Drosophila melanogaster: one gene and its partner. The protein of the gene in region 1 purifies or fractionates together with the protein of each later gene. This does not show direct contact. Each region holds a gene or a part of one and is shown in the gene's direction. Other genes may lie near its edges.

Region 1 (6,287 bases):
TTTCTGTTCGACGCCCAGTAACCTCTTCGAGGAGCCCAATTCCGTAATGCTGCACCAGATCGAGGTTCTTACTGGTTTGTTTGTGAGTACCTTTCTATTTTTGTGTTTTCAAACTTAAGTCTGGATTATCCGTAGTTGCTCGGCGGACCCGGGAACGAGCTGCCCCCCTTTATTTGCTCACCCTGCGAATTGGACCTGCAGACGGCGATTGCTTTCCGGGAACGTGTGATTCGAACCCAAAAAACGCTGCAGGAAAGTCCCAACCTGGGGAACGCGGAATTGATCGAATCCTTCGCAGTTGGTGTGGAGAAGGAGATTCAGTACGCTGAAGAGGTCACCGAGATCGAGGTTATAGACCTTCTACCCGAGGAACACCTGCTGGAAGAGACGGAAGAGCCGTACGAAATATGTGAGCAGAACGAGCAGCCCCAAGTGAAGGTTCCTGCGCAGGAGAAGAAGCTCCGCAGAAGTACAAAGACCACGCCCACAGTCTTTACCTCCGTTAAGTTTGCGGACAATAGCCAGGCCACGCGCACCCAGTGGAGCAGACTCACCGAGGACGAAGTGGTGGCCCTAAAGCGGGAGCGACGCAAGCGGGATTGCATATGCGAGCAGTGTGGCCGGCACTTCACCTGCCCCAGCAACTTCAAGTTGCACCTCCTCCGACACACCGGCGTAAAGAGCTTTGCCTGTGACCAGTGCTCCCAGCAGTTCTACACTGCTACGCTTCTGCGGCGCCACCAAGAACTGCATGCGGGGAATGCTTTGTTTCAGTGTCGCTACTGCGAGGCAACCTACAGCAACGCCAGCGGACGCATCCAGCACGAACGCATGTACGACAGAACTCGTTCCCATTCATGAAACGTCTAATGCTTTTCACATATTTCTGACCACTTTCCATTTCATCAGGCGCCACACGAATGTCAAGCCCTTCACGTGCAAGGAATGCAATAAAAGCTTTGCCATGAGCGGAAAACTCCGCACGCACATGCTGAGTCACACCGGAGTGCGAGCGTTCCAGTAAGATCTTAGTTACCTGAAGTTTTATTGAGGATCCTTGACTCTGTTTATCTGTTTTTCAGCTGCGACTCCTGCCAAGTCTCCTTCGTTCGCCGCTCCCACCTGACCTCCCACTATCGCTCAAAAGGTCACGCCCACACTTCAAGCGCCCAGGCGGCACTGGACAATCCTGTGGAACTGGACGTGAAGGCCAGTAACGGCATGCAGACAGGGGCTAAGGATGAGGCTTTACTAGGAAAAAGTGGATCTTAGGATAAACTGTACTAAAAATCAATGGATCCCCGATCTGATATTCGGATTAATACTCAATGCACTTAATATTAATCGAAAATGGAATATGTTCAAATATGGCTGTGTTGAATAAAAACTGATTTTTTCAAAATGGCCAATAGAGATTACCTTACTTAGGCTGCGCACTAATTTTTAGTTACATTATTTTTATGTTTTAAAATATAATAAAATCTAAATTCGAACATTGTTTACCGGCTTGGGGAGTAGCCAGCATTTTAAAATGTCATGAGCCTGGTCACACTGTCTTGCACTAAATAAATTAGGGGGCGTCTTTAAATTGCAAAATTTCTTGCAAAATCAGTAGAAAAGTGCTTGGAGCTGCTGTTACAATAGATCCTAAGACCAAACGTTCTTCTCCGGAGGATAATACCTGGAACCATCACTAACCCCAATTCAAAAGTGTCAATCTGTTTCCGCAAAACTGCATGTGGTGTTTGTTTCGCTTGTTTGGTTATTTTTCCCAACTAACATCCTCTCTCTAAAATCTCGATTTCGTACTTGAATTGCGCAGCTTTTGCTTTGGGATTTTGTCCGACAATTAGGCAGAATCCATAGCGAAAGACGCAGCAAGTAGCATCGTTTACAATCCGCGAAAGTGCAGTCGCAGAATTTTCCGGCGGGGCTTCTGGCTTAACCAATGTGGCACTTCCAATGAGAAATCAATTGCAAGGCGTTGGATGCTCTCAGTATTGGTTATTGGCGAGATTGGCCCCGGGACAGCATTACTAGACAGTTCCGATCAGTCCGCACTAAACCCCTCCCGCTTTAGACACACACATCCAATACAATGGCGGAGAAGCCGCTGGCCGACTGCCCGGACTCTGGGCAGGTCCGCAAGCGTCCCCGGCTGGAGGACGAGGAGCAGGAGCTCAAGGTGGCCGGCTTTTCGCTGAGCGCCATCGAGGAAATGCGGCGGACCAGGGACAACGAGCTGCAGAACGAACCCATGGACCAGCAACTGCGACAGTTCCAGGTTCTCGACGAAGTCGGCTCTGGCAGCGATGAGGATGATGAGTCAGGTGAGTCGGAAACGAAGCTCGGATATTCACTCAGGTCATCCAGATCACAGGCTGTGCAATTACCACCTTTTGTTTCACAGTGCAGGCGCAGTTCTTATCTCAAGATCTTGGGGGCCTATCATTGTGCAAATACAGGAGGCTGATAAAAGAGTCAGCCGGCAGGTTAAACCCTGATATAGCAGCTTCAGTTTTCCTTTATCTTATTGTAAGGCAGGTGGTGGCAGTTTTGTGCGGACAGTTCCATGCGCATGATACCCATTATCCGACTGGCTTGTCCAGTTGCGTCAGGTAGAGCCAGTAATAATGAAGGATCACTTTAATTAAACATCAAAGAGCTAGACAATTAGGTGCCAATGGCATTCATTCAAATATTCCGTGAAGATGGCCATCAACTTCGCGGCTGGTTTTCCATTTCCCAGACAAACAGACAACTTATTTATCCGTGATTGTATCTCCTTACATGGCAACCAGACAACGCTAGCGAGCAGCAGGGCGGAAGGTATGGAGAAGGAGGCGACGAGGAGGAAGAGGCGGCTGATGGTGACGGCGAAGAATACGATTCCTCGGAATTCGATGATGACGAGATCGAGAATCTGCTGGACGAGAAGCTGCCCGAAGAGCTCCGCGAGTCAAAGCAGCCCAAATACGAGCAGCGTTTCAAGACTGTGCTGGAAGGTCAGTGCTTTTCGTCGAACCAAGTGTCCAAGATGACGAGTATTTTAATGTGACTACTCTTTTAGAAAAGCGCCTCAACCACTTTGAAGTCCTACCCGAGGGATGGGTGCAGGTGACCCACAACAGTGGAATGCCGCTCTTCTTGCATCGCAAAACTCGCGTCTGTTGCGCATCGAGGCCCTATTTTCTCGGCACTGGAAGTGCCCGCAAGCATGCAGTGCCCTTGGGAGCAATCCCCTGTCTTAACTACAGGCGGGCTTTGGAGGAAGAGTCGGAGGTGGAGCAACAAAAGACGGATGGAGCGCCGCCAGTGGCTGTATGTCCCATGGCCGGAGCTTCCGCTTTACCGGCCGAAGCCATGGACGTGGAGGGAAAAGAGAACAACGAAGGCAGCACCGATTCCAAAACCCAACCAGATGGAATAACTGCCCTTATGCCGGCTGCTAAAATTGTTACGGTCAACGAGAATACCCAAAAGGAATCCATTACACCGGAGCAACTAAACACCTACTGCCAGAAACTCTTCAAATTCAAGGTGATTCGTGTGCTGCGATTTCGGAGTTGGAATGCTCGCCGCAAGTTCACCAAAAACCGCAAACACATCAAGAATATTCAACGACCCACGCTGCCGGATGGCACTAAGCTTATTAAGTTCCCAATACTAGCGAATGCTGGCGAAGGATCAACGAACCCGCGCGGTCGGAAGGAGTGGATCATGAATCCCAATGGCAAGAGCTTCGTCTGCATCCTGCACGAGTACGTGCAGCATGCTCTGAAAACGCAGCCCACCTATGAGTTCAAGGAGCTCCAAAACGCAGCCACGCCTTACTCCGCCACCGTATCGGTGAACAATCTCAAGTATGGCACGGGCTATGGCACCAGTAAAAAGCAGGCCAAGTCAGAGGCGGCTCGGGAAACGCTGGAAATACTCATTCCCGATGTCAAGGACAAGATAACGGGCAACAATAAGGACCAAAAGAGCGGCACTGCGAAGAAAGCGCAGAGCGATCTGTCTGTAAGCAATCTACCTATAGAAAATGGAACCACTTCTTATTTTTATATTTCTTGCAGGTTTTCGATGACATCCGCATCGAAGATCCCCGAGTCACCGAATTCTGCAACAAGACGACGGAGCCATCTCCCAACGCCATTCTGCTGACTTGCTTGCAGCGCAACTACGGCAGCGATGTTCAGATCAGCCAGGAGATCAACCGCACCGCGAATAACAAGAACGAGTTTACCATGACCGTGGGCAAACATACTGCCAAAGTGGTGTGTAAAAACAAGCGGGAGGGCAAGCAGTTGGCTTCGCAAGCAATCCTCCAGGTGAGCATTGATATTTCTTTATAACTTTACTTATAGCTATTGAGTTAACCTTTCGTCAGATTTTGCATCCGCACATCCAGACCTGGGGTTCCTTGTTGCGCCTCTACGGCAACAACTCCATAAAGACCTTCAAGGAGAAGAAGCTGGAGGAGCAGGAGATCACCGTGCTGCAGAGCAAGGCGGCAGTCAACCAACCCAACTACGCCATACTGGACAAACTTAAATCCGAGATGTTGAAACTGTGTGCCAAGCAGGAGAGCGTCCTAACCATGGGCACTTTTGTGCCGCCAAGCGACGTCGATCTGCCCACTTCCTCCGGGTCCAATTTGAACAACGTGGAACTTTGATTGGGAAACACACATCTCTCTCGCCAACATTGATTCTCTAGTAGTGCATGACAACCTCCTAGTCTCTTAGTTACCCACCCATTTCCATATTCGAAAAGCTAATGACAACAACGACGCGTTCTCTAGAGGCATACGAACTGATTTCAAATCGGCTTCATCTATCTGAGCTGGTTAATCTGAAGTGGCTTTAGCAAGTGGCCAAAAATGAAGAACAATTGCCTATCAAGTGGTTTTACATTAAGGTAAATTCATCACTAAATTTGCCAAATATAAGTAGTTCATGCTTGCAATAGCTAAGATTAGGGGTTCAATTTCACTTGTATAATATAAGCTTGAATAAAATACTATTAAAAACGCAGTCCTTTATATTTGAGTATAGAGATGTTCGTCTAAGATCTTTATCTGCAATACCAATTAAAAAAGTAGAGTTCTTAAGTATTTGACAACTATTCATTTGGGCAGACAGCAGGACAATTATTTGCTCATGATTTGTTTATCAAATTTCCTCGTAAATCTTCTCGTATCGCTTTCATTCTTGGAACGTTCAAACACCATTGACCCGTAACCAATTTGGAAGACATTTTAAAAAGTCGTATGGAATATAAAAAAATGCATATTTACATGGCCATTAGGATTCTCGGGTGTTTTTAGGCGGTCGGTCGTTAGGTGAGTGGATGTTAATATTTAAGGCGGTGGGCAGGGTGTAGGTTCGTAGGTGTGTGTGCGTGCAATTATTTAAAAGACGATGCAGTCATAAATTATGCTACATTTTCATTTCATTCTAACGTTTCCTTTTTTATAGCATTCCAACGAGCGTGGCACACACACATACCCACCACGGAGAATGCGGAGAGACAGTCGCAGAGAGAAAGTCCGAGAGAGAGAGCGCGGGAGAGCGGCGCAGGCGCAGATCCCGGATTTTGCGCAGCAGCCATGCTGCGAGATGAATTGTGGCGAGTTCTGACTTGCCAATTCGCAGGCCATATCTGTATCTTCAGTACGGATTCTTCGCGTGGCGAGAAAACCACTTCCCGGCGCTCCTATCCTCAGGACTTTCGTCTGGGATTTGTAATTGAATCACAGTAACTCGGGACAGACCGAAAAAAAAAACGGGGAGAAAAACAGAAAGCCAAGAGGTGAATTCGGTGGTACAGCTGAAAAAAGGCCAACTGCAGTGCAGAGCAGAATCATTTTTATTGACATTCATCTTAGTTGCCCCCTCATCCCTCGGTGCCCCCAAAAAAACCAACTTCATAGCCCCCCAGTTCCTCGATTCTCGACTCTCGACGTTCGATTCCCGGTGCTCGTGTGTCGCGTGTTGCAAGTGCGTGGGTCGCGCGTCAAATCAGTGGATGTAGCAAGCGGTACGACACGCGCGCCGTTTTTGATTTTTCGCCCAGCGGCCCAGAAATCGGGCCTGGGAAAAAAGTGCGGATATTCGGTGAAAGACGGAGCACTCGGAAAATAAACGGAAAATCGGGTACACACACGCACTCCTGTACACCGTGTCCAATGCATTTGGCCCGCTTGGCCCAAGCACTCGGAGATATGTAAATTATGCCAAATTCCATTGGAATTTCCGTCAGAGCCAGTGAATCGGTAAGCAGCA
Region 2 (6,588 bases), on another chromosome or scaffold:
GGTATATCGAACCGCAGACGGTAATTAAGGGTCCTGCATAAACATTTATCACTTTAATTCAGGTAATCCATAAACCGCTCTCCAATATAAAAACCTGTGCATGCCGGCTTTTTCCATTTCCACGTGAACGATAGGTGGTTCGACTACATAACAATGTCCCGCGCCTCCCAGTAAGCCCAAAACCAAGGTGAACAGTAAGCACTGGTTATTTCCCTTGGAATGCATTTTTTGCAAACTAACTTATATTAAAAGCGACTGAAGTAAATTGTAAATAAAAACATTTGGACCAGGGCTGTCGCGTAACTAAAATTTATTCAGCGTTGCCATATCAATTACATACTAAAAATACGGTAAATTTAAAATAGCTTTTCAACCATTTTTCTGCTTATACAAGGCGGATCCTTGCCGCGCCAATTTGTCTGCCATTTCATTGCCCTCTATGCCCTTGTGGGCCTCCACATAGTTCTGGGGATATTAACTGAAGTCAAGTATTTTCCAGGACCTTATTTAAATTTAGTTACGCACCCATTTCACGGTGATGTTGTTCTCCTGAAGCAGTTTATCCAGTTCCTTGAAGTCAACAACGTTTTTAACAGGCTGATTGTTCTTTAGCTTCCAATCCCTTTTTTTCCAACCCGCAACCCACAGCGTTATGGAGTTGATCAAAAACTGAGAGTCTGTGCTGATGCACAGCTTCTGTATTCCCAAGTCAAGAGCTGTTTTAATGGCATGAATGGCCGCTTGTATTTCACCTACATTATTTGTAACGCGTCCTTCCACGGGCTTGGCTGCGTTTCTGCAAAGAACATATAGGTTAAAAGCAAAGTTATTGTGCTGCAGTTACCACTTACAGCTGGTGATTCTTGCCGAAATAAACGCCATAGCCGGCACAGGCTCCGGCTCGTCCGTTGCCTATGCAGGAGCCATCTGTGTACACAATGACATAGCCCTCTGCATCGATTTCAAACTGGAAGGCACCCACTTGCTTGAGTCCTGTGGCTTCTGAGACCTGAGAGGCATGACGTGGGATCTTGTTCCGCTTATCGCCGCTGGTTGTGCCCTTCCGCTTGCGATTGAGAATGTCTGGCTGAAAGAAGCTATGTTTAACTTTTTCTACAGTATGTACTACGGTCTCATACTAAATTGCTACTGTTAGATGGCTTTGGATCTCCCTCAACCTCGTTCATGGCAGCATTCTGAAAGGATGAAAGGTCAGGACTTTGCAAACGTATGTATATTCATGCCTACCAGATCATCCTCGGCTAGGTCGTGATCCTCTTCGGGCCACTCATCTGTGTACTTGGGGTTCTTATTCACTTCGATACTGTTTTTCCAACTGGCCAGTGACGCCTTTTCCTTGCCCAGCGGCACGGCCACATCCTGCGGAGCATACGACTTGCAGCCATTAACGAACTGATCCGCTTCCTGGCGTGTCTTAAACTTCTTGTATTTGGCGTTCTTGAAACCCTTGACCTGCTCCTCGCACTCTGCCCAAGAGCCGTAGACTCCAGACCGCCGCCCACTGGCTACAGCGTAAAACGCCATCGTGCAGCGTTGGAGGTTCCAGCAAAAATACCGCGGAAGTAACATAATTTTCTTACGTTGTCTATCGAAACATATGTGGCACGGCCTTGCCGGATGTGCGAATGTAAACAAACCGGTCGAGTTGCCAGATCATTCGAATCGCGGTAAAAGGTGTGGGTGGAAAAAAGTATAATTGTGGATTTTGCCAAAGATTTTCCCAAAACTTTTCGCCATGTACCAGCCGCCTTTGCCACCGCCTCCAGTCCAGCCTGCTCCTCCGCCCCCGCCACCTCCGCCAGAAGAAGATCTATCTCCACCGGGAGTAGGTGTTCCCTCTCACAACTATTCTTCAAATGAATCCCATTCTCAGAGCTCGAAGTCTTTGGATTACGTCTACCCGGAGACACCGGCTCCTTATGCCAGCTCAGTACCTAGCTATGATCCGTACCAGCAACCACCAGCGTACGGCTACGAGGGATATGCTTACAACGAACAAGCACAGAAGTATGGTGGCCAGGAGTCCCATTACCAATACCAGTACCCGGCATCCGGATCATCATTCCTCTATGAAAGCTATAAATACCCAGACCGCTATCCTGCTTATTCGTCCAACTACCGACCTCCATCCGAAAGGCAGAGGTACACTTCCAACAGCTCCAGTCAAGGCTACCACCATTATCCCGGCTATAGCTCGGGTAGGCGGTATGAACAAAGACATGATCAGGAACACCGTCAAATTCAGGACAGTCGATATGCCCACGAGCCACGACACGGACACTATGCCCACAGGCAGGCAAAGGGGTCGCAACACGGATACTATGGATCTGCAGCCAGAAACCAAGTCAGCGATGACTATTCGCCACGTGGCCATCACGAAAGGGAGAGAAATGAGACCTTAGAGAAGACTAGGGCCAAACCGAAGGTGGAGACCGAAAGGGACCGTCTGTTGAGACAGTGGTGTTCTAACTTCTGCGAAAAACCAGAGGACTATGTGAAGAAGATGAACGCCCTCAGCGAGGCGGATGCGCCAGTCGAATCCTGGGTGCGATCATCGCCAGCGGAGCTCTACTACGAGCGCACCAAGAGCGAAAACGAAGTCAGAGGTCGGGCGCGTCTGCAAAAGCTGTGCACTCTATTCGATGAGGAGCTCCTGCAGAGAGCAAAGCGTGTACGCGAGAAGCTACCCGTTTACGTGCCGCCTCCAAGAAAGGCTCGCCGCCGTGTTTGCAAGCATAAACACAAGTCGGAAGCCTGCTCCTCGTCCTCCTCATCCGATGACGACTCCGACGAAGACGCTTTTAAGATCGAGCAAGACTGCTGCATGGAGGAGCTTTCGCGCAAGGTGCAACATCCGCAGCGTGTGCACGCGGATCTCTGGCACAACGACGCCGGTGAGATGAACGACGGACCTCTTTGCCGCTGCTCAGCCAAGTCCCGGCGCATTGGCATTCGACACGGCATATATCCGGGCGAGACTGGCTATAAGTTGTGCGATCCAAACAGCAACAATGCAGGCAAGCTGTTCCACTACAGGATCAGCATCTCACCGCCCACTAACTTCCTGACAAAGACACCCACCATTATCAAGCATGATGAGCACGAGTTTCTATTCGAGGGCTTCTCACTTCTCTCGCATGTGCGTCTCTCCGATCTGCCCGTCTGCAAGGTGATCCGCTTCAACATCGAGTACACCATTGAGTACGAAGAGGAGAAGATGCCAGAGAACTTCACCATCCACGAGCTAGACATTTTTTGTAAGTAAAATTGAGATTTTTCTTTATAGGCATTACTTACATCTTATCTCAATTTCAGTCAAATACCTGTTTCATGAACTGCTAGAGCTGGTAGACTTTAATCTAATGCCCAACTTACCGTCCGGAAACGTCGAGGAATCCTGCCCAGCTTTTCACTTCTTTCCGCGTTTCGTCCGCGACCTGCCAGATAATGGAAAGGAGGTTTTGGCCATGGTCGAGGTACTCCGCTACTTGCTGGATAATTCTGCACAGCTTGTGGAACGGCAGCAACTACTGCATCTTAACCAGATTAGTCAGAGCGAGTGGCAAAACTACGTGGACTTCATAAAGGGAATGCTGGTCACCAAGCCGGGTTATAAGCCGTGTTCGCTACGCGTTGACCAATTGGACAGGAATAACTCCGATTTGCCCGAGTGCGTAGATCGCGAGACTGGAATCTCACATCCAGCAATCGTGCACTTTGGCATTTGTCATCCTCAGCTAAGCTACGCTGGAAATCCAGAGTACCAGAAGGCGTGGCGAGAGTACGTTAAGTACCGTCATCTGATGGCCAACATGTCGAAGCCCTCTTTCAAGGATAAGCGCAAGCTAGAGGAGAAGGAGCAACGTCTTCAGGAGATGCGAACTCAGGGGCGCATGAAACGAAATATCACAGTGGCGATCAGCTCGGAGGGCTTCTATCGCACCGGCATTATGTGCGACGTTGTGCAGCATGCCATGTTGATTCCTGTCCTAACTGGTCACCTTCGCTTTCACAAGTCGCTGGACCTGCTAGAGGAGAGTATCGGGTACCGCTTTAAAAATCGGTACCTTCTCCAATTGGCGCTGACGCATCCCTCATACAAGGAGAACTACGGTACCAATCCGGATCACGCCCGTAATTCGCTGACTAACTGCGGAATTCGTCAGCCGGAGTACGGAGATCGCAAGATCCATTACATGAACACACGCAAGCGGGGTATCAACACATTAGTGAGCATTATGTCCAGATTTGGCAAGGAGCATGAGACTGTTTCGAACATAACCCACAATGAGAGACTAGAGTTCCTCGGTGATGCTGTAGTAGAATTCCTCAGCTCAATCCATCTGTTTTTTATGTTCCCTGAACTGGAGGAGGGTGGTTTGGCCACTTACCGAGCGGCAATTGTCCAAAACCAGCACTTGGCTCTGTTGGCCAAAAAGCTGCAACTGGAAGAGTTTATGCTGTACGCACACGGATCCGATCTGTGCCACGAGTTGGAACTGCGTCACGCCATGGCCAACTGTTTTGAAGCCCTAATGGGCGCGCTTCTATTGGATGGTGGAATCAAGGTGGCAGATGAGGTGTTCACGGATGCACTCTTCCGGCAGGACGAGAAACTGCTGAGTATATGGAAGAATCTGCCGGAGCACCCGTTGCAGGAACAGGAGCCACTTGGGGATCGCAGCTGTATTGATTCCTACCGTGTGCTTAAGGAGTTAACCAAATTCGAGGACTCTATTGGAATCAAGTTTAAGCACATTCGGCTTTTGGCTCGCGCTTTTACCGATCGCTCCATTGGTTTCACCCACTTGACCCTTGGGTCAAATCAGCGTTTAGAGTTCTTGGGCGACACAGTGCTGCAGCTGATTTGCTCGGAGTACCTATATCGTCACTTCCCTGAGCACCACGAGGGCCACTTGTCCCTGCTACGATCCTCATTGGTCAATAATCGCACTCAAGCGGTGGTTTGCGATGATTTGGGAATGCCGAAATATGCCGTGTATGCCAATCCCAAGGCTGATTTGAAGACCAAAGATCGTGCCGATCTGCTGGAGGCATTCCTCGGCGCCCTGTACGTGGACAAGGGTCTCCTGTATTGTGAACAGTTTTGCCATGTATGTTTGTTCCCGCGACTTCAGTTGTTTATCATGAATCAGGACTGGAACGATCCCAAGTCGAAGCTGCAGCAGTGCTGCCTCACACTTCGCACAATGGATGGCGGCGAGCCGGACATTCCCTACTACAAGGTGGTGGAGGCCAGTGGTCCAACTAATACGCGGGTATACAAGGTGGCCGTTTATTTCCGCTCAAAGCGGCTGGCCACTTCAAGTGGCTCCTCCATTCAGCAGGCGGAGATGAACGCCGCTAAGCAGGCGCTGGAGAATTCAAGGGACCTGTTTCCCCAACTGGATCACCAAAAGCGCGTGATCGCCAAGAGCATAAAGAAACAAACGGGCAACGAATTGGACAACGACAGTGATCGCCAGCATCAAGAAGAAAAAATCAAGCGGCCCAAATATGCGACACCGCTTCAGGATGAGAGCCATCTTCCTAAGCAATATCGCATGCACGAGAACATTTCCAGCGATGAGTTGCCGGAAGACGAAGACTTCGAAAGCACTGCTCCCAAGAGTCCAACAAGTAAGTTAATAGATACGGTGTGCTGTGATTAATAGGTATCTATAGGTATCCTTTTCGTTTCTAGTGCCCTTAAGAAGTAACAGAAGTGGCAGTAGTAGCAGCAGCAGCAGCAGTGATAGCGATGGCTCAACCTCTTCTCCGAAGTGCAAGCGCCGATTAAAGAAATGTTCCTCGGTGTCTTCAAAATCTTCGCTGGGATGAACAGCTTTGCGTATGCTATAGCTATAGGAGGCCCAAATTGAGTAAGACAATCGTGGGAGCGGTGTAAAAATGTAATGGGTTATCTTAATGAATCGCTCATTTAGTAGATGCAATTCTCCCCTTTGCTATCAGGACATCTTACTTTCTAAGTAAGATGTTAGAGGACAAAAATTTGCCTGTCTCTAATTGTCGCCTAATTAAAAATACCATTAAAGCAACAAATAAAATAACCGAGTCGAATTTTGGGAATTTTGGTTTTTAGCCAATTTAAACTTAACACGGTTGCCCTTCGCACAATATTGTAAACAAAGCGAAATGATATCCAATGGAGGCGGTCTCACACCCAGCGCTATTTGAACAAGGAAAGCCTACGTCCCAGCCCGGTACGTCCTGAACCACTGACCGCGTTGGTGATGTGGCTCATCTCGGGAAGATTGTGGATGTCGCCGCGGGCGGCCACAGAAGGCGGCGAGCTCAGGAGACGTTGAGCAACGCGTTGGATATCGGCGGCAGTTACACTTTCTGTAATATGAATTAACGAGTTAAATGATAGCATTAATTGATTAATTAAGATGCTTTTACCAATTTCCTTGATAAAATGCTGCGGTCGTTTTCGCTGCCCCGTCACCAGCACTTGGCGGCCCACGTCCTCGAACACAACGGGTCTCGACTCCAGGTTCATTAGTAACATGGACTGAAGCTGGATCTTCGAGCGCATTAGCTCTT

What was found. The genes of interacting proteins can lie anywhere in the genome.
Region 2: the proteins of pasha (region 1) and drosha purify together in Drosophila melanogaster (affinity purification with western blotting; 4 studies listed by BioGRID, with this or other methods). This does not show direct contact.

What each region holds. Positions count from the first base shown.
Region 1 is NT_033777.3:31,616,440-31,622,726, forward strand, and holds pasha (partner of drosha), read left to right. Parts: upstream 1-1,988; 5' UTR 1,989-2,098; coding exon 2,099-2,330; intron 2,331-2,549; exon of another isoform or gene 2,550-2,572; coding exon of another isoform or gene 2,573-2,618; intron 2,619-2,801; coding exon 2,802-3,005; intron 3,006-3,070; coding exon 3,071-4,020; intron 4,021-4,076; coding exon 4,077-4,331; intron 4,332-4,390; coding exon 4,391-4,678; 3' UTR 4,679-4,920; exon of another isoform or gene 4,921-5,035; intron 5,036-5,480; 3' UTR 5,481-5,778; downstream 5,779-6,287. Other genes in the region: CG1792 (uncharacterized protein), read left to right, coding at 1-82, 136-833, 910-1,020, 1,083-1,272.
Region 2 is NT_033778.4:7,930,760-7,937,347, forward strand, and holds drosha (drosha), read left to right. Parts: upstream 1-1,669; 5' UTR 1,670-1,756; coding exon 1,757-3,278; intron 3,279-3,336; coding exon 3,337-5,661; intron 5,662-5,725; coding exon 5,726-5,862; 3' UTR 5,863-6,081; downstream 6,082-6,588. Other genes in the region: PIG-X (phosphatidylinositol glycan anchor biosynthesis class X), read right to left, coding at 1-51, 95-117; rnh1 (ribonuclease H1), read right to left, coding at 370-465, 526-796, 852-1,087, 1,140-1,196, 1,249-1,590; CG8728 (uncharacterized protein), read right to left, coding at 6,212-6,384, 6,445-6,588.